3 linked regions of the Sus scrofa genome follow. The protein of the gene in region 1 purifies or fractionates together with the protein of each later gene. This does not show direct contact. Links are inferred from orthologs where the notes say so. Each region holds a gene or a part of one and is shown on either strand. Other genes may lie near its edges. The genes, in order: USP4, EDC3 and RBBP8.

Evidence for each region.
Region 2: the proteins of USP4 (region 1) and EDC3 purify together in Homo sapiens (co-immunoprecipitation; 3 studies listed by BioGRID and IntAct, with this or other methods). This does not show direct contact. The link is inferred for Sus scrofa from reciprocal best matches to the Homo sapiens genes USP4 and EDC3.
Region 3: the proteins of USP4 (region 1) and RBBP8 purify together in Homo sapiens (affinity purification with western blotting; 3 studies listed by BioGRID, with this or other methods). This does not show direct contact. The link is inferred for Sus scrofa from reciprocal best matches to the Homo sapiens genes USP4 and RBBP8.

What each region holds. Positions count from the first base shown.
Region 1 is NC_010455.5:31,900,035-31,907,350, reverse strand, and holds the start of USP4 (ubiquitin carboxyl-terminal hydrolase 4), read left to right. Parts: upstream 1-2,973; 5' UTR 2,974-3,131; coding exon 3,132-3,232; intron 3,233-6,014; coding exon 6,015-6,142; intron 6,143-7,316.
Region 2 is NC_010449.5:58,850,821-58,857,509, reverse strand, and holds part of EDC3 (enhancer of mRNA-decapping protein 3), read right to left. Parts: intron 3,875-6,689; coding exon 3,555-3,874; intron 1-3,554. UniProt on the Homo sapiens protein: Binds single-stranded RNA. Involved in the process of mRNA degradation and in the positive regulation of mRNA decapping. May play a role in spermiogenesis and oogenesis.
Region 3 is NC_010448.4:107,921,647-107,928,844, forward strand, and holds the start of RBBP8 (DNA endonuclease RBBP8), read left to right. Parts: upstream 1-2,322; 5' UTR 2,323-2,504; intron 2,505-7,198. UniProt on the Homo sapiens protein: Endonuclease that cooperates with the MRE11-RAD50-NBN (MRN) complex in DNA-end resection, the first step of double-strand break (DSB) repair through the homologous recombination (HR) pathway.

The sequences.
Region 1 (7,316 bases):
AAGGTGCCCGATATTCATGAAGACTGCCACATGTGCTCTGTGATTGCTGGCCAAATGTGGACCGAGGGTGACTGGGGAGGGCAAACTCCAGGTAGATTTAGAGCAAGGCATACTGCTAGCCAAGGCAAGAACTTTTTGATTTGAAACCACATAAAGCTTAAAGTTCACATACCTAGACATTACAAACCCCCAATTAGATCATCACAGTCTAAGATTGAGCAGTATGTGACAAATCAGCCAAGCCTGTTCCCTCCAGCTCTCTTCCTGCTTTCCTTCCTGTTATTGTGGCCCCAGCTCCCTTGGCAACGAGTGGGTTGTTCAGCTCTGTGGTTTGATCATGGGGCCAAGAGAGTGCCCCATTAGGGTAAATGGCCCAAAAGAGAACACAGTCCTGAGGTCAGAGTGTCTCCTGAGTTGAATCACACAAGTCCTTTCCTTCCAAATCTGCAGATTACCCCTACAATAGGAGGACCACATAGGCAAATGTTTATTGTTTCTAGTTCTCTGCTGTTTTTTTTTTTTTTTTGGCTGCATCCATCGCATGTGGAAATTCCTGGGCCAGGGTCTGAATGCACACCATAACAGTGACCCAAGCCGAATCAGTGACAATGCCAGATCCTTAACTCCCTTAGTCACAGAGGAACTCTCAGTTTTTAACATTTAATCAGACTAAGAAAGTTTTTAAACTTTGGAAATAATGGTGATCTTTTGATAATGAATTTTCACTTTATTCCTTGCATTTTAACTATTGGCACTTAATAATTTTAATACAAATCTTTATGAAATACCCATAATTAGTGTATTAGTTTTACAGCTATTTAATAGCTCTGAAGAGACACAGGCTTAAAATGATCTTCCAAAGTTTTTATTTTTATATTTAGGTTTTGTCCCCCTTTCTAGTGGTGCTGATGACTTGTCCTATTTCCATAAGACTCTGACCCAGGCCATAAATGGTACAGGAGAAACTGCTAAAAAAAAAGAAGAGGGAAGCAGACATTCTAATGTAGTTTCTGAAGTACTGTCAGTAACCCAACTTTCTTTTTCCATAAATAGGGCTAAAGGTAATGTTTCTTGTTTGACACAATTTTAAACAATTTCAAAGAACTTTCATAGAACGTCATTTCTTGGGGTATCAGGATTGGCTTCCCAGAGGTAGAACTGTCATGTAACTTCTATCTGCAGAGGATTAACTGCTATGTGGTTATTCAAGGCAGGGTTTTTTTGGTGGTTTTTTTTTGTTTGTTTGTTTTTGTCTTTTTTGGGGCCGAACCTGCAGCATATGGAAGTTCCCAGGCTATCAGTCAAATTGGAGCTTTATCTGCTGGCCTATGCCCAGCCACAGCAATGCCAGATCCCAGCTGCAGCTGCGATCTACACTACCGGTCACAGCAATACCTGATTCCTGACCCACTGAGGGAGGCCAGGGATGGAACCCCCATTCTCATGGTTACTAGAGGGATTCCTTTCTGCTGTGCCACAATGGGAACTCCCTCAAGGCAGTTTTAACTCCAAATTTACTTTTCCCTGCTACCTACCCACTGTGAAGAGATCTCTTCGACTAAACGGTGCATAGTGGATGTCCCAGGAGTGCAAAGTAACTTCAATTAGCCAAAAGCCGAACATAAAAATAGTAAATCTGTTCAAATGACTTACCACACCTTCACCAGGCCACCTCTATCTCTTCTACCCCTAAAAATGAACACAGTTCATCTGTTTCTCCTCTCCTCCCTCACAGCCATCTTTCCCAAGGTTCCTAGTAGCACTGTGGGTATAAAGCACCCTCAACCATTTCTCTATGCTCTGAAACTTCCCACAATATCTGTGGGCTGTTTAAGGCAAGACATGTGGCCCCTCTGGCCTCCCTTTGAGCTTCAGATCCCAAGCCCTTTCAGTAATCTGTGCCCAGCTCAATTGGACTAATCCTCATTCTTTGATTCCGTCCACCCTGCTAGTTCCAGAAATTTTCTTTGACCCTTCTAGTTATTCCTCCTTTAACATGCACTATCATTTCTATGCTTTCAAGATCACGCTCAAATGCTACTCAAGTCAAAGGCGCCCTTTCACAGTTCAGGGTCTAATCTTTGGTTCTACCTGTTAGTGGCATTTACCCCACACTGCTTGGCTCTGGGGTCATTTGTGGAAGAGTTATTCTCCTCCTATAGATCAAATAAGGGCAGGTACTGGGCCTTGTATATCTTATTTTCTCTGCTAGATTCACATAGGCTAGCTGTCTGGCCTCCACCTTGCTCTGGGTTTACTTCCTCCTCCAGGAAGAGGGCTGTGATTTTTGTTTGCAGGGTTGAGTGGGAAACATATGGTGTTCAAACACTATCTTGTTGCAACAACAAACAGAGCAGCAACCCGGCATCTGATGTGGAGAACAGACTTTTACCTCTCCTTCCCCCATTGCTATTGCCCCTCTGCGGCTGCTTGACTCCCCGACAAAGCAAGTAGCTACCTCAGGGGCCTGTGTAACTGCCTGGGCTAGGTTATACTGGCGTCCAGCTTGCTAACGACTAGGCCACACCGTCGAGACTCGGTCCCAAGGCGCTGGTGCACCTAACACCCTCTAAAATCCCTGTAGTGCCTCTGGGAATGGAGATCCATTCCAAGTTTGGGCAGCTAAGGACTAACGTAAGGTCTCTGCTGAAAGCCGAAAGGCTGGAGTGAAAAGAAGACCTAGTTCTAGGCCTCCTTGCACCCGAGCTGCCTTTATTAAGACCAGGATAACCCTGCAAATCCAGAAGAGGTGCCCAGGGTGTCATGGGGTCTGCGGACCGACTCCTAAAGATCGCCGAGCTGAAAGGAGAAGTGGTGCAGGACCGCCGCCCCGTGGCTTGGCCTTCAGGGCGGAAGAAGCGGCAGCTCCTACCCACCCCCGCCCCGCGCCCACTTCCTCTTCCGGCCGCTCCCCCAACCCCCGCCCACTCCGCCGCGCACGGGTGGGACAGGGTTGGCGCGTTGGAAGGGTGGGGGAAAGGCAGAAGAGGGCAAGCGTACAAGCCGCGGCGCGAGAAGGTCCTTGGGTGCGCGCACGTGCGTGCGTGCGTGCGTGAGTGCGTGTTCGCGACCCACGGCACGCTGTGCGCGAGGCGGATGTCCGGGCCGGCTGGACCGGGGCCGCTGACGAGATGGCGGAAGGCGGAGGCTGCCGTGAACGACCGGATGCAGAGACCCAGAAATCCGAGCTCGGGGCCTTAATGAGGACCACGCTGCAACGAGGGGCGCAGTGGTGAGCGCCGAACCCGCGTTTCCGCCGCGCAGGGCCAGAGGGCGGGGCTTGGGCGCTCAGGCCCATCCCCTCTTTTCCTGTTTGGGCCGGGACCCTCTTTTCCGGCCGGGCAGGGGCGATGTTAGTGACCCCGGAGTTTGACTTGACCCCCCGCCACAGAAGAGAGGGAGCCCTAGATCCTCTCTGGGAAAGCGTGGGTGGAGCAGAAGGTTGTCCCGGCCCTTTCAGAGCTCAGGGGGCGGATCCGGCGGGGTCTAGGGCTGCAGAATGGAAAGAAGGGGAATGCTCACAGGGACCCTCAGGTTGAGCAGACCCTTTAGATTTGAGGATTCGCTCTGTGACTTTGGGCAAAGGCGTCCACATCTCACAGACCCTGGTTCCTTACTGTTAAAACCAGAGTAGCGACATTTGGCGCCCCCCGCAGTCAGTTGGTTGAGGCGTAGATCAGAAGTAGATACTTTGTAACTTGTAAACTGCGGAACAGACATCAAGGTCGGAAGCTGAACAAATGTCTGAGAGTCTCATTATTTTGGTAGCAAATGTCAAAGATAATTGTAGCAGCCGCATTTCGGAGTGAGAGAGAGGGGTAACCTAGAGCCTAGCTAAAAAGATTAAAAGTCCAAGATTTAGAAGAGCAGGTCTCAGTCAGAAGTTTCTTAATAAATTTTCTAGGAGAAGGAATAGTACTTACACTATTGTATTGTGTGGGAGCTGAAAGCTGGGGCTTGGCTTTGCACTGAATGTGACTGAGCATCCCTCTTTAAGAAACTATGGTTGTCTTCCAAGAAACTTAGTGTGACAGAGGACTTGAGCAGGGAAGAGAAACAGTGGGATTAGGAGGAATTCAGGTGTGTCTTGTGCTAGCCAATCTGTGAAAGGCAGGGCGGGCAAAAAGTACTTGTGGATGATATATCCTGATCAGAAGTGGCATATGAAGAATACTCAACAGAAGCAGAGGAAGTTTCAGATAGACTAAAATCAGTAAAAGTGTTTGGAGGATGTTCAAGAGGTTTGGAGAGAAAAGAGCGTTTAGATATTTGAATATATTTATGGATCCTTGTGGCCTTTAGGAGAAGCTACCTGATCTCCTCTGAGGTTTGTTGGTTATAAAATTTGAAGGACTTCCCAATATAATTGTTGTACTTTGTTCCCCAACAGAGGTTTCCCCCTCCTTTTGTCTTAATTGTAGAACAGCATAGTGATACTTTTAAAGTAAAACCAGATCATATTCCCTTTGTGGCTCAGCAGTTAATGAACCTGACTTGGATCCATGCGGATGTGGGTTTGATCCCTGGCCTTGCTCAGTGGATTAAGGATCTGGTGTTGCCGTGAGATGTGGTGTAGGTTGCAGATGTGGCTTGGATCCTGAATTGCTGTGGCTGTGGTGTAGGCTGGCTGGCAGCTGTAACTCCAATTCGACCTCTAGCCTGGGAATTTCTGTATGCCTAAGGTACGGCCCTAAAAAGAAAAAAAAAAAATTAAAATATAGCCAGATCAACGTAATGGTTATCGAGAAGATAAACATACCAAGACAATATTGTATGATGCATATGTGTGTTTGTATACCTGTATATGTGTACACATTTGTACACAAATACAGACACACATTTTTTGCTACTTTGGTCCTCAAAGGAAAACTGAAGTGTGTGATGTTATTATCTCTTTTTTTTTTTGGCTTTTCTAGGGCCGCACCCTTGGCATGTGGAGGTTCCCAGGCTAGGGGTCTAATCGGAGCTATAGCTGCTGGCCTACGCCACAGCCACAGCAACGCCGGATGCTTAACCTGATGAGTGAGGCCAGGGATCAAACCCACAACCTCATGGTTCCTAGTTGGATTCGTTAACCACTGAGCCATGACGGAAACTCCATTATCTCATTTTTAAAAAGAAAATTTGTTTAGTGCTGTTCTTGTCAAGCAAAGCATTATAACCAAACTATCATGGAATTGTTGAGATGGTCATTAGCAAAAAAGGTTTTCCCCATAGCAGAATTTTTTTTTCTTTGTTTTTTGGCTGCATCACAGCATGAACAAGTTCCCAGGCCAAGGATCGAATGTATGCCACTACAGTGACCTTAACTGTAGCATTGACAACGCTGGATCCTTAACCCCTAGGCCACAGGGATTTCCTGGAAAGGATTACTTTAATTTTTTTTTTTTAGGGCCACACCTGTGGCATATGGAAATACCCAGGCTAAGGGTCAAATTGGAGGTGAAGCTGCCGGCCTATACCACAGCCACAATAGTGTGTGATCTGAGTCACATCTGCGACCAACACTGCAGCTCACAGCAATGCCTGATCCTTAACCCACTGAGCAATGCTGGGTATTGAACCCATGTCCTTATGGATATTAGTTCATAACCTGCTAAGCCACAAAGGGAACTCCCGAGAGTGTGTGTTTTTGTTTGTTTGTTTTTGCTTTTTTGGGCTACACTGGCAGCATATGAAAGTTCCCAGGCTGAGGGTTGAATCGGAGCTACAGCTGCTGGCCTATGTCTCAGCCATAGCAATGCTAGATCTGAGCCACATGTGCAGTCTACACCCCAGCTCACAGCAGTATAAGATCCTTAAGCCACTGAGTGAGACCAGGGACCGAACTGTGTCTTCATGGGTGTTAGTCAGGTTTGTTTACATTGAGCCACAACGGGAACTCTGAGAGTGTGTTTTTTATGGAAATTACTTGTTCCCCAAGTGGAAAGACCATGAACAAAAAATTAAGGGAGCAGCTGCAGAAACTTACAACCTCAGCTATTCTGGTACAGTAAATTTTTGTCTGTCTCTAGGTATCTTATTGACAGCCGGTGGTTCAAGCAGTGGAAGAAGTATGTGGGCTTCGACAGCTGGGATATGTACAATGTGGGTGAACACAATCTGTTTCCTGGCCCCATAGATAACTCTGGACTCTTTTCAGGTGCGGTATTTTGTTGTTTTTCTAACTGAAATGTCCACCTGGGTAGTGGCCTGAGGTCATGTTTCTCTGTAACCTGGGCATTATGAACCTGATTTTCTTACAGTAAAGGCATAGAAACAAGTGTCCTTGACTTGTGCCTATACCAAAAATCTTTGTAGACCCTCAGGGGGAAGTTAAGCTGCTTTTTGCCTAAATTAACTGCTGTTACCAAGAGCCTGGGGCATGCTCCTTGCATTTTTTTTTTTTTTTTTTTTAGGGCTGCACCCATGGCTAATGGAAGTTCCCAGGGTAGGGGTCAAATCAGAGCTGTAGCTGCTGGCCTATGCCACAGCCATGCCAGATCTGAGTTGTGTCTGCAACCTACACCACAGCTCATGGCAACACCGGATCCTTAACCCACTGATCGAGGCCAGGTAACGAATCTGAGTCATCATGGTTAACAGTCAGATTTGTTTCTGCTGAGCCACAATGGGAACTCCTGCCCCTTGTATTTTAAATTTCTGCCTGTCTCTCTTTTTCAAATTAATTCTGCTACTGATTTCAGATTTTAGCTTAGTTTATTGAATGGAAAGAAATAGGTTATCATTTTGAAATTACATCTGGAATCTGAAATTTGGGAACCAGAATTTTCTGTGTTACCTTTGCAGTGGAACAAATTGTACCTGTCAACATTCACCAAGCATTCCTGTGATGGCTGTTTTTGTCAGGGGAAGTTAAGTGTAAGGGGAGATGGAAGGTCAGTAGAGTTATGATCACAGTCAGTTTCCAGTGGAAGAAGTGACTGAAAAGTGATATGTGACACATTTGAGCTTGGCTTTCACCTACCTTTCACCTATAGATGCAAAGAGATGACAGTTGGCTTTTCCTAGGCTTTTTTCTGCCTGGTTTTAGACTTGACTTTTTTCTTTTGTCTTTTTATGGCCGATCCCTTGGCATATAGAGGTTCCCAGGCTAGGGGGCAAATTGGAGCTGTAGCCACTGGCCTCTACTACAGCCACAGCAGCACAGGATCTTAGCTGTGTCTTTGACCTACACCACAGGTCATGGCAACACTGGAACCTTAACCCACTGAGTGAAGCCAGGGATCGAACCTGTGTCCTCATGGATGCTAGTCAGATTCATTTCCACTGAGCCATGACGGGAACTCTTAGACTTTCTTGTAAGAGGAGTACAA
Region 2 (6,689 bases), on another chromosome or scaffold:
GTTGCTTGGTGGGGAGTGGGGAAGCAATCATGGAGGGAAAATGGAAAAGACTGAATAGGTTAAACACAGGGATTCTCCACAATACTGTATTGATAGATATAAAATAACATGTATTTGTCAAAGCCTTCAGAACTTTAGAGCACAAAGAGGGAGCCTAATGTACGTAAATTAAAAAAAAAAAAAATCATTGAGGAGGTTGGAGGAGCCCAGGATGGAGTGCAGAATGCAAGCAAATGATCTGTTACAAATATATGAGACTAGTCAATAAAGAGGATGGGGGCATGGGTTAGAGTTAGCAATTCTGATACTGTATACTGGAATTAAATAATTTAAGTCAATGATGAAAGACAGTATGGATTTCTTGCTGTTGGGAGTAAGAGGTTACAGATGAGAAAAGGAAGCTAGAATGAATCATGTGGTGATGGATTAGACTTGGATACATCAACATGAATTCACATTTAGCTTAATATAGTAGTGAAGGTTATATATATATATATGTATTTATTTACAGGAGTTCCCGTTGTGACTCAAGGGCTTAAGAACCCAACTAGTATCCATGAGGAGGTGGGTTTGATCCCTGGCCTTGCTCAGTAGGTTAAGTATGTGGTGTCACCATGAGCTGTGGTGTAGGTTGCAGACATAGCTCAGATCTAGTGTTTCTGCGGCTACAGCTCTGATTTGACCTCTAGCCAGGGAACTTCCATATGAGGCAGGCATGGCCCCCCCCCGCAAAAAAAAAAACAAAATGTATTTACAGATATGTGTATATACACTGGTTTAAGTACACACATATATTTTCTTGCTCTGTCAGCTGAAAGGGTGACACCCAGCAGCAATAAGCACATCTACTGCCTAGATTGTGGTAATACCATTCTCTAATAAAATGAAACAAGGTCCCTAGGGCTGGGGCAGAAAACACAGATAAACCTAGAGCATCTTGCAGTGCCTGAAAGGGAGGAAGTTCCAGGAGGCAGGGAATGTATAATGGGGGCATGCCAAAGGGACACAGTAGCCAACTGAAGGAGCACCCAGTGGCCAAAGCTGAAACAATATGAGCAGCAAAATAAAGTGGAAATGAATTATAACCCAAAGGATAAAATAAATACTTATAAGTCCATACTCATAAAGATAAATGACTGAATAAGTAAATGAGGGAGAAGAAACAAATCTCTGGAACAGAAAAATCCCAAATAATTTATGTAGATACTCTGCATGACTCTCGACTTCTTAGGGGTGGGCTGCAGAATGACTTCAGAGGACAAATCTGACATATACTACCTCAGCCAGGCACTTGAGGTCAACATCAAAGTCAGAAACAAGGGAGTTCCCATTGTGGCTCAGTGGGTTAAGGATTGATGTTGTCTCTATGAGGATTCAGGTTCAATCCCTGGCCTTGCTCAGTGGGCTGAGGATCCAGTGTAGCTGCAAGCAGCAGTGTACGTCGCAGATGGATCTGGTGTTGCCATGGCTGTGGTGTAGGCCTTAGCTGCAGCTCTGATTCATCCCCTAGCCCAGGAACTCCCATGCACTGCAGATGCAGCAGTAGAAATAAGTAAAAAAGTCAGAAACCATGTTGTTAGTATATACTCTTGATATATGATGAAAATGACACTTTATCTCTGTGATCTTCCTTTCCCAATCACATGACCCCGGTCTAATAATAAGAAAAACATCAGGATTTCCCATCATGGCTCGGTGGTTCAAAAATCTGAGTAGCATCCATGAGGACACAGGTTTGATCCCTGGCCTCGCTCAGTGGGTTAAGAATCCAGCAATGCTGTGAGCTGTGCTGCAGGTGGCAGATGTGGCTCGGATCTGGCACTGCTGTGGTTGTGGTGTAAGCTCTGATTCAACGCCTAGCCTGGGAACTTCCATATGCCACTGATGCAGCCCTAAAACAAACAAACAAAAAAACCAAATACCAATTGAGGCATAGTCTACAAAAATATCTGACGAGTACTGTCCTGGTCATCACAAAACAATGAAAGTCTGAGAAACCGTCAAAGTCAAGAGAAAAGGTGACTCCTACATGTAACATGGTATGCTGGATGAGAGCCTGTAACAAGGACACTGGGTAATAAAAACTAAAGCAATCTGAATAAAATATAGATTTTGGTTAATGTCTCATCACTGTTTCATTAACTGTAACGAATATGTCATAAAAATGTAAGATGTTAATAATAGGCAGAAAATATGCAGAAAAAAATTTACAAATTGCTAACAGGCACTGTCTCCAAGTACAGTACAATTATAAATTGCTTGAATATTTGAACTTTTAATAAACAAGTCAATTTTTTGATAAAGAAAAAAGTTTTTTTTTTTTTAAGAGAATAAAGCAAAGTAGAAAATGTTAAAGTCTAAACGGAAAAAGTCATTTTCTATCTAAGCATTTTACAATTTTTCAAAGGACACAGAAGAACTAACAATTCAACTTCAGGTTCAGGTCTTCATTTGTCAATTCATATAGTTATTTAAGATGTACTGAGGCAAAGTGCCTCAAAATACATTTAAAAAAAAATTTCAGGGAGTTCCCGTTGTGGCGCAGTGGTTAACGAATCCGACTAGGAACCATGAGGTTGCGGGTTCGGTCCCTGCCCTTGCTCAGTGGGTTAACGATCCGGCGTTGCCGTGAGCTGTGGTGTAGGTCACAGACGCGGCTCGGATCCCGTGTTGCTGTGGCTCTGGCGTAGGCCGGTGGCTACAGCTCCAATTGGACCCCTAGCCTGGGAACCTCCATATGCCGCAGGAGCGGCCCAAGAAATAGCAAAAAGACAAAAAAAAAAAAAAAAAAAAAATCAAAATGTCAGTAGCTTATTCACAGAATCAGGCATTTTGAAAACTTAAAAATGTTGGGTCCTGAAAGGCCACACAGAGTCTAGTGGATCTGTTATAATTCACTACTGTAACATTACTCTAGTAAATATGTTAAAGAGCATACCAGATTCTAGTGAATTAACTATGGTCTATAACGAGTAAATGGCATTCAACAATTCATTAGTACCAAACAAAACTGGGAACAAATACACACACCAGTGCATGCTCTCCTTGATGTGCTAGCAGGGAGTGAATACAGCAAATCTAAAATTGTCAGTATGTCAGATATTTTAAGATCACAGAGATGTCTAGGCCCATCGCTTCCTCTCTTCTAAGGATGGGAATTAAAATACAAGAAGAAAACTTATTTGAGAATCCCCTAGAACAGCTTAAGTGTAAGTTCAACCCAGGTATCACTACTACCACCAGTTAGCAGATTAAAAACAACATCGCTTTTGTCTGTGTGAACTCAAGACAGATGAATGACTTTTTTTGGAAGGAAGGGAAGTGGTGAGAGAGGGCGAGGAGCTGGTGTGAGTCTCTAACAGCTTATTTCCTTTCCCTTATTATCTTGAGGAAATAGTTCCAGAATGAAAGAACCATGCTATATTTTTGTGAAGCTCTGCCAGCATCTTTTTTTATTAGGGTAATAAAGGATTTATTTAAAGACTAGCAATGAATAAGAGCTTATAGACATGAAACATCAGGTAAAAAAGAAATATTAACTCAATCCAACTTACAAGAGTTGTGCCGACGCCGGAAGCTTTTGGACTGACTCAAGGACTCCATGTGCCTATCCACATAGCTCTTTGAGCACTGCTGCTGCTGGGGAGAAACGGCAACATCTTGGCTCTTGACATCTGTCCTCTTAGGGATGTTCTGAGGGGCACTGCTGGAAGAGGCTGGCTTTTTAACCAACTTGCCCATGCCATTCTGACCAATACCTACTTGGCACCCAACACCAGAGGGGCCTAATTCTGCCTGATGAAGGTCTCCAAAATGTTGGTTTTCTCCAGGACCTGGTATCTCCAGAATTTTTAGTTCCGTAATGTCACCTGCCCTGAAGTACACAAAAGAGCCCAAGTCAAAACTATAATAGTGATAACAGTGATGAAAATGGGATCAAAAAGAACCAGTTATACCATAGCAGGGCAGCATTTCAATGAGTCATCAAAGGCAAAAACTAGAAAAGGTGGTAGAGTACTTAAAGATAAGGCTCGGCCACCAACATTCAACTGTCACAGCACTGGCCTTTAAAGAGACCTACTGTTAACCACACAACTATTATTAACATCTTAGATTTCTAGAATGCTTAATTAATGGCTTTTTTTCATTCATTCACTCATCTACTCATTCAATAGGTATATACAGAGTACTCACAATGTGCTAAGTTCTGTATTACGAGTGGAGCATACAGAGATGAAAAGCAATACATGCCCACAAGGAATTCACAGTCTAGTCAGCAGAAAATTCAGGTAGGTAATCACAAGTGTTAAAAACCATGACAAAAGGTGTGCACTGGGGACCAATGCACCCCAAAGCAAAATATATGTTAGTTTGGCAGAGATGGATCAAACACTTAAGCTAAGTCTGGCTGGGGAGGAAAACAAAGAGTTGGCAAAACAGTCTGGTAGGGAGAAGGGCACCTCAGGCCAAGGCTCAGAGATGGAGAAAACGTGGGCCATCTGGAGAACTTCAAATGTGACAGGGTTACTAAAGGGAAGAAAGCTTGTGCAGGGCCATTAGGAGGTCAGGCTGTGGAGGAAATTAGGGACCAGATCATAATCACAATGGATTTTCCTGATGGCTACAGGGAAGGTGGAGAAATTAGAGGCAGGGGCACTGGTTAGGAGATAAAGAACATGGGGATGAACAGGGCAAGTGACAATGCAAAGGAAGTGGGAAGGATGGAACCAAGAAATACCAGGAATCCACAGAATTTGGTGACTAACTAAACATGAGGATCAAGAGAAAGACTTTATTATGATTCCTAAATTTCTAACTTGGGTGAAAGGTGTCATCAGTCACTAATTAAGGATAGAACTTTGGAGGAAGAAATGTGCAGGTAACATAGTCAGCTCAGCTTCGAAAATTTTAAATTTAAGATATCTGTAGGATAGCCACTTGGAGATGACCAGTAGACAATTAAAGTGTATATAACACAGATAATGGGTCTAATAAAAATCTGGGGTCTCATTAATGTGTAAGAAGGTATACAAGAGATTGTCTAAGGAGAATACAGACCAGGAAAAGAATCAAAGATGGAACTCCGACTAAATCCATCTTAAAAAGTGAGTAGAAGAGGAGTTCCTGTGGTGGCGCAGCAGAAACGAATGTGACTAGGAACCATGAGGTTGTGGTTCAATCCCTGGCCTCCCTCAGTGGGTTAAGGATCCAGCGCTGCCCTGAGCTGTGGTGTAAGTTGCAGACGCAACTAAGATCCTGCATTGCTGTGGCTGTGGTGTGGGCTGGCAGCTGTAGCTCCGAGTGGACCCCTAGCCTGGGAACCTCCATGTGCCGCAGGTGTGGCTCTAAAAAGCCAAAAAAAAAAAAAAAAAAAAAAAAAGTGAGTAGAAGAAAAGGAACCTGTGGGGCTGGGGAGAAAAAGTGTATAAAGGAATGGAGGAATACTTGGGAAGAAAACCCAAAGGGGTAACAAAGAAACTAAAAGAAGAGGTCACTCCAACGGTTAGGGAACATCTGAATAAGATTAGATTAGAACTAAGACACTGCCACTGAATCTGGCAATTAGGTCATTTTTAATCTCAGCAAAAGCTAGCTCAGGAGTTCCCACTGTGGCACAATGGGATCAGCAACACAGGTTCGATCCCCAGCCTGCAGTTTGATCTGATCCCCAGCCTGGGAACTCCATATGCCATGGGGCGGCCAAAAGAAAAACAAAACAAATTAACAAAAGCAGCTAGTTCAGCAAGATGGTAAAGACAGAAAAAGATAATGGTGGGGTAGAAAGAGGCTAGACTAAGACACAAAGGGAGTAAAAGGAGACTATATTCGACCCTTGAATATGGGTTTGAACTGTGTAGGTCCACTTAAACGTGGATTTTTTTTTTCAACAAAATACATATTACAGTACCACATGATCCACAGATACAGAACCATGGATACTGAGAGTTACACCAAGATTTTGGATGGTGTAGGTGGTTGGCCTTCTAACCTCCTCACTGTTCAAGGGCCAACTGTATTCTACTCTGAAAAGAACTGTGAGTCTAAAGAGAAGGAAACCGACAGGGCAATACCTAGGGCAAATGTAAGGTGTGTGGAAGGGTAGTGTTTATACTATGGGGGAGGCCTGAGAATGTTAGAAAGAGAAGAGAAAAGAGCCAGTATTAAGGTTGAAAGTGAAGACACAAAAGAAAAGGAGCAGGGTCTCAAAGGAGATAAGAAAGCATAGCTCATAAAGCATATGTGATAAGGTTGGCCCTGAACACAAAGGGCATTCCTTCCATGGAGACTTCAGAGGAGATAAGAAATAAGAATTGATATGCCTACAGAAAAGGTTATGTGTGGGTGTTACGTAGGAAGTCAAGGAAGCTCTAGCTCAAGACTTTTTTTTTTTTTAAACATAAGAAAGGGAGGTTATCTGCCAAATTTATAAAGGAGGGATGTGAAGACATCTAAGCTTGAGATCTTTGGCAAATTTATTCCTGTAGCTAAGGACTTTAGCTATTGGCTACAGTGTGTTCTCTGGAGAGAAATTATAACACACACCTGCAAAGAAAGATAGTTACACAGGGAGGAAAGAAGTCAATAAAGACCTTAGATTTAAGAAAGAGCAAACAATTCAGAACTGACAAAAGAAATCTGAAACCATAAAAGAAAACAGAAAGATTATTCAGAGTCTGACACATTGAAAT
Region 3 (7,198 bases), on another chromosome or scaffold:
TTTATTATTTGAATTTTATAATTACCCTAGGGGTTATGTACTACTACTTTCATTCACATCTTGTAAATAAAACAGATGCCTGATTCAGGTGACAAAGCTAATATGGAACAGAATTGGGATGGAACCCAAGTCTTTCTGACTTCCAAGCCTATATTCCTAAGCAATTATGCAATCTTGCTAATTTCCACAAAGTACACTCTAGAGCATGGGTCAAATCCAGCTTGTCACTTGTTAATAAAATTTTATTGGAACACAGCCATGTCCATTTGTCGAATATTGTTTACATCTGCTTTTGTGCTACAATGTTAGAGAGGAATAGCTAAAACAGAGACAATTTGGCCCATAAACACTAAAATACTTACTCTCTGATCCTTTACAAAAAATTCTGCTGATCCCTGCTATAGAAAATAACCTTCTTACTAAGTTTTGAGGTCATGGTGTCCTTGGGTACCTAAAACTTTTGTCACTACATCAAAGGCATTCTTTTTCTTGTTCCCTCAACATTTTGTTATCCTGCATATAGCAATCTTTGGTCATAGTTAAAGAGGAAAGTTTCTAAACCAATCTCCTTTGTGAGGTCTTTCCCATACTCAGTCATACTTGCTCTCTTTTCTGTGCTCCTACCTCAGTTATTCTCTCTTTCTCTCTCTCTCTCTCTCTCTCTCTCTCTCTCTCTCTCTCTCTCTCTCTCAGGACTGCACCGGCAGCATATGGAAGTTCCCAGGCTAGGGGGTCACATGGGAGCTGCAGCTGCCAGCCTATGACACAGCCACAGCAACAACGGATCCAAGCCTCATCTGTGACCACATAGCAACTTGTGGCAACACTGGATCCTTAACCTACTGAGCGAGGTCAGGAATCAAACCTGCATCCTCACGGATACTGTGTTGGGTTCCTAACCCACTGAGCCACAATGGAAACTCCAGTTATTCTAATTATAGTACTCATGCAGTTCAATTCATATAACAGTTATCAGTTGTGATTACCCTGGGATCTAGCAAGTGTTGCCCCTGAGTAGATATTTACTCAGTGAGCATTTATTAAATACTTTCTAAGTTTCTGCGCTAGACACTGAAGACACAAAGATAAATATGGCATCTTGAAATTAATATATAGTTTACTTAATTAGGTACCAAAATAGAAAAGAAGCTAAACATGGAGGCTGAGCCTAGGTCCCTGTAACAACTACAGCAGGATCACCTGAAGTATTGGGGTAACATCCCAGACCTACTGAATCAGTATCTCAGGAGGTGAGGTCCAATAATCTGTGTTCTTAATCAACACTTCAGATTATATTTAACAGGAAAGCTGGAGAATCTCCATCAGTAGATAGGAAAGACTGTTTTTAAATGCATAAATATCATGAGAGTAAGAAAAAAATCTCACATGATCTCCCTTAATACAAATAAATTTCTGTCAAAATGTGATCTTGTGTTGCTCACTTCCTCCATCCAAAAGATTAGAAGACACACTTAGGTGGCAACTTGGACACTGATCCCATCTCTTACTAAATTTTCCTTTTTTCACCATTATAATCCTGTACCTAGCACAGTTTGTGGCACACAGTCATTTTCAAGAATTTGTGTTCAACTGATGAATATCCAAAGTAAAACCTCTCCAGGTTGTCCTAGTATGTAGAAATAGGCGTTTTTCCAATTTTAGACTGGAATGGTATGAAGATCATTTGAGTACAAGGAAGATAACACACCCAGGCAAAAGTCTGGTCAACCCACATCTTGTTTTCCTCCCTCTAGAAAGGGTTCCTTCAAACTCTCAGGGCTACTGCCCTTGTGGGGAATATCGACATCCTCCCTGCCACTTCAAAGCTGAGCAAGACCAAGTGGACTAGTGGAAAGGTAAGGTATTATGGATTCTTCTTCATTGTAATCTTCTAGAGGCTTTAGTCTGCAAAGCCCTGGAGTACATTTAAAAATGGATTACCTGCCCCTGAGGATGGTAGACACTCAAGTTATCTACAATGAGAGGTTTATAACAATGGACTCTTGCTGTACCTGACACAGATCTACCCCTCCCACTGGAACTCTGAATTATTTTGCTGGAGGCTACAACATTCTGAGCAGTTTGTTGGGAGTTGACGGGAGGTGGGGATAACTTACCTGGTACAAGCTTAGCAGAGCTGAGCCGCTGCAGCTTGTTGGGCTAGCCTTTGATGCAGACTGGTTGGACGGGTTCTGGATCTACAGAAGAACCGGTCTGACTGGCCTGCTGTGCCAACATATTCTGGTTTGATTCCATGTTCCACAGACGGTAGAAACCTGCCCAGCCAGTTAAATGAAAGGCATATTAGGTTATCCATTGCAAACCTTATATAGCTTAGATGCAGCAGAACTCTTCCACACAGCAGTGGTGTCTAGCAATCTAGCGTGGTCCAGAGAGGTGTCTCCCACTGATTTACTGTGTACGTTCATAGCTGTAGGGAAAGTCAGCAGTGAAACACCTGCTGCTTTTGACCAAGAGCAGAAGTTTTCTAAGTAAATTGAAGGGTAAGTTAATGTATTTTTTTATCTTTCTCAATTTTCTAAGCACTTTCAGAAGGTTAATTAAGAAATGATGTTTAAGATAATCTATTTTTAACACGGTAGTACCTGCATTCTATCTTTTATATAAAGCTGGTTAGATACTGTCTTATAATATTTGTACATATGTTCATTGATTTGTTTAGATAAAGGTTATTTGGTATATAATACACTTCTGCTATAAGTCTTTGTAAAATGGGCATGGCTGTAGTCATTAAGAAAAGTGGGTTGAATAATTTTGCTAAATATATTTTACCTATTAATATAATGATTCATCTTAAGCCATCTACTTCTTTGATAACATACTATTATATTTTACAGGCTGTTGCTATATGGTAATGTTTTATATGGCAAATCTAATTGTGGATAAAATAATAATGGCCTTTTTAAGGCATAAAAAATAGTGCTGGCCTGCCTGGTGATCGTTAAGTACTTTAGAAGAACAATTCACAGCAAGAAATGAGGAGTGTGAAAAACAAAGATTGTGGAATCTGGTAACTGATTAACTATTGGAGCTCAAAAGCACTTGCTGAGCTGAATAGAAAGGAATGAAGACAGGTTTTGTCATGCCTATTAGGTCTGAAAACCTTTTTAGGTTAAAGAATATTTGGGTCTTCCTTTAATTTATATTTTAAAATAATTCTTTTCTCTCTCTCTTTCATTGATCCAAATAATTTATTTTAGTAACCTGTTTCATTTAAAATGAAAATTATCAAGCCCTTTAGATTTGTTTTGGCATACCAAATTACCCCCTTAGTTATTAATATTAGATTGAATTGAGTGCACACATCCTCCGGGCATTCAACTTAACGTATCAGCTGACATATGAAATTTATCTGGAAATTAAAATAACTTTTTAAAACAGATTTATACTAAATATTTTCAAGGACTATCTCCAGGCCATCACATGACTTTCCTTGAACTGAGCAATACTAAGGCATCCTTTTCATAGTCCTTATAGAGCCCTCACTTTGTCATTATGTTCAAACTTAAAGGCTATATGTTTCCTTAGAATGCTAATAAAGAATTTTTTTAAAGTGAGGATGAATGTTCAGATGTGATTTCATTTTTTGCAGGGAAACCTTTTGCATGCTGTTTAGTCCTACCCCAAGGCAATTCTGCATAAAACTTCTGATAATCAGCTAAATTTCTAAAAAGCTATGTAATATTGAATCTGCAAAAGTAATGTGCTGATTCAGCATAAACTGTATTCTGACAATTTTTGGAGAATATAGATAAAAAATTTTAGTTGGTTGAGTTTTTCTCTTTTCAATTAATTTTCAAGCCAAATGTAGATATATGTCAACAGAGTACACTTTTACTGTTTAGAGTAAATATATATAGTAATTTAAGATTTTTAAACCTTGCTTAAAATACTGTTTAAATATAAACTTAATTTGGGATTCCAATTTATTCATTAAGGATTTTTTATGCTTATGGTTTTAAGGAAAGCTATTTAGGAACTAGATGTATATATCCATATAAAATTTGTGGGTAAAATTTCAAGTCTAACTACATTTTGGAGAGGGATTCTACATTTTGGAGAGGGATTCTACAGCTATTACCTATCCTTAATAGGATTTCCAGTTTCAAATATATGAATGTCCTATTAAATACTTTCATGTATTTTCCATAAATTAATTCCTTTAAAATACTGATACATTGTGATGTTTTGATTGAAATTAAGAATATATGGATTAATCAATCAAATTAGAAGTCTATGATTGCCTGTGTGTGTATTTTACATAGCCCTGTATTATCTGAGGGCCCAGGTCAAAAAATGATCTAGTCATTTAAAAATCTTTTTATTCCCTAAGTCTAGTTTAGGATGCATTCCTTTGTCTTTATTCCTGGCCACAAAGTTTCATACAATGACTCTTTTTGTCATCCATGCTAGTTTTCTTAACAACTACATAACCTCTTCCCTTCCTGAATATATTCATGTATTTCCTACCAAAAGCACTTAGAATCATGACATTTTGGGCTACAAGGACTCTTTACAAATAACTAATGAATTCAACTTATTTTTTAGTTGAATAAAAAGCCCCCAAATGTCGCTAACTCACTACTATACAAGCTAAGGGTAGAGATGAGACCAGAACATCCCAGGTTCCTAATACCAGCCCGGACTAATATTTTTTTCACTACTCCATGCAGACTCTTCTGAATACTACTTGCAATTTATTCTGTTTACTAAAGGACTTGTAAAAAGGTAAAATTGGGCTATATAAGGTATGTTAAGGAGTATTTGCTTAACCAAGAAATTATTTGCTTTTATATTTTAATCTATATAATTACTGCCCCCAAACCTTTTTTGGTATCAAGTGGCTGAATTTATGGGGATGCCATTGGTAATGGATATGACCACCTCTTTGCTACCTTCTTCTCTTAATGCTCTCACAAAATTTTGTATCAAATTGCTAAGAGTACCACACATTCCTTCAAATTTGCTCAGATTATTTCTAGGCAAATAAGTTATCTTCTGATTTATTATTGCTTTAAACTGTCTCAACAGTTTATTTTCTTAGTATGTATATAAGTATGTATATACTTTTGTATTGTTTTAATCACTTTTATGTGGCTATAGTTTAGGATTTAACCTAAGAAATTAGTACTTCTAAACTTTGGTTAGAACTGACAGGAAAATTTCAGTAAGTTTATGAAGTCCAGAATTGCAGGATTCAAAATCCATCTTAGGGGAGATATACCTGTTATTTAAAAGGTGAGATCTTAATACAGTACTTTGCACACAAGTGCTCAAAAATGCTTTAAATGTTTTTAACTTGAGGAATTTCAAGGAAATAGGACCACAGAAAGCTTGAAAACCAAAGGCTCAAAATTTTCAATTCTGATTCTTAAGCTAAAAGTTAATTTTCCTAAACCCCTTATCTTTTCACAGATAAACTCTTACCTGAGGGATGCTTCTAAATTTGGTAAATTTAGTTCATTCCAAGTGAACTCTAGAAAATAATTACCTCCATTTGTTTCTCATCTTTACAATCAAGAGAAAAGGTACATTGAGAACTATGTCTAGATACTCATGTTGCAACAGAAGAAAGGGTGGGGGAAAAACTGTAATTGTAATGTATACATGTAAGGATAACCTGACCCCCTTGCTGTACAGTGGGAAAATAAAAAAAAAAAAGAGAGAGAAAAGGTAGTATATTGAAAAATGTATGGATTTTTGAGACAAACTGAGATAGGTTTGAATACTGATTTTGCTGCAAACTAGTTTACCCTTGGGAATTATTTAACCCTGAGTTCTCTTTTCTCCATCTGTAAATTAAGAAAACTATTACCATTCTCTAAGAGTTCTTGGAAGGATCAAACAAGATATTGTATACAAAATACCTAGCAGTCTCTAGAACATAGTAGGTATAGCACATCAATATTCTTTACACCTCTTTAATATAATATATAACAAGTTTTTTTGTGTTTGTTTTTTGCTTTTTAGGGCCCCACTCGCAGCATATGGAAGTTCCCAGGCTAGGGGTCAAATTGGAGCGTTAGCTGCTGGCCTATACCTCAGCCACAGCAACGTAGGATCCAAGCTGCATCTGCGACCTACACCACAGCTCATGGCAATGCTGGATCTTTAACCCACTGAATGGGGCCAGGGATCAAACCCACATCTTCATGGATACTAGACGGATTTGTTTCCACTGGGGCACGACAGGAACTCCCTAAAATATATTTTTTAAATGGTTCTATAGAAATAGCTAATTTGGATAACATAAGACTAAAAACCAAACTTGCTATGCATCAAAAACTAACTAGGAAATAGAGAACAGTATAGCTCATTGTGTTAAAGACATAGCCTTAAAAGTAATCAGAAAACATTATCTTAGAAATTATGTATTACTGACAAAGTGAAAATAAAATTTACATGGCAATTTTTATTTCAAAGTTCTATCTTAAGTCTACTCCCTTGAAGGTTCTGTGCCTATCTTTTCCACAATGATTAGAGCGAGGAACATTTCCTTCCAACATGAAAATATTTTAGATCTAATAAATTTCTGAATGAATCTTGAAATATTAAGAAATACAAGATCAATAACTTTCTGTAGCTCATAGTACAATATTTATGGACATGGAGCAATATTATAGAGTTCTGCAATGAGGCCTTCTATTAAAAATTTACATTTAACATAAACAGATCTTCTCAACTTATGATGTCTCTATAAACCCACTGTAAATTGAAAATATCTTAAGTTGAAAATGCATTTAATAATCTAACCTACTGCACATGATAGCTTAGTCCAGGCTACCTTAAATATGCTCAGAACACTTATATTAGGCTACATTTGTGCAAAATCATCTAACACAAAGCCTAGTTTATAATAAAGTGCTGAATATCTTATATAACTTATTGAATACGGAAGGGTGGTATGGGTACAGAATGGTTTAAGTGTACCAGTGTTTACCCTCGTGATCATGACTGGGAGCTGTAGCTGCCCAGCATCATGAGAGAGCATCATACTGCATATTGCTAGCCCAAGAAAAGATAAAAATTCAGAACCTGAGTCATAGTTTCTACTGAATGCATATAGCTTCCACTCCATCATAAAGTCAAAAAATCCTTAATATCAAACCATCTTAAGTTGAAGGCCATCTGCACAGGTCTATATTTGGAGGTCTCAATGGAAAGTAAATGAAATATA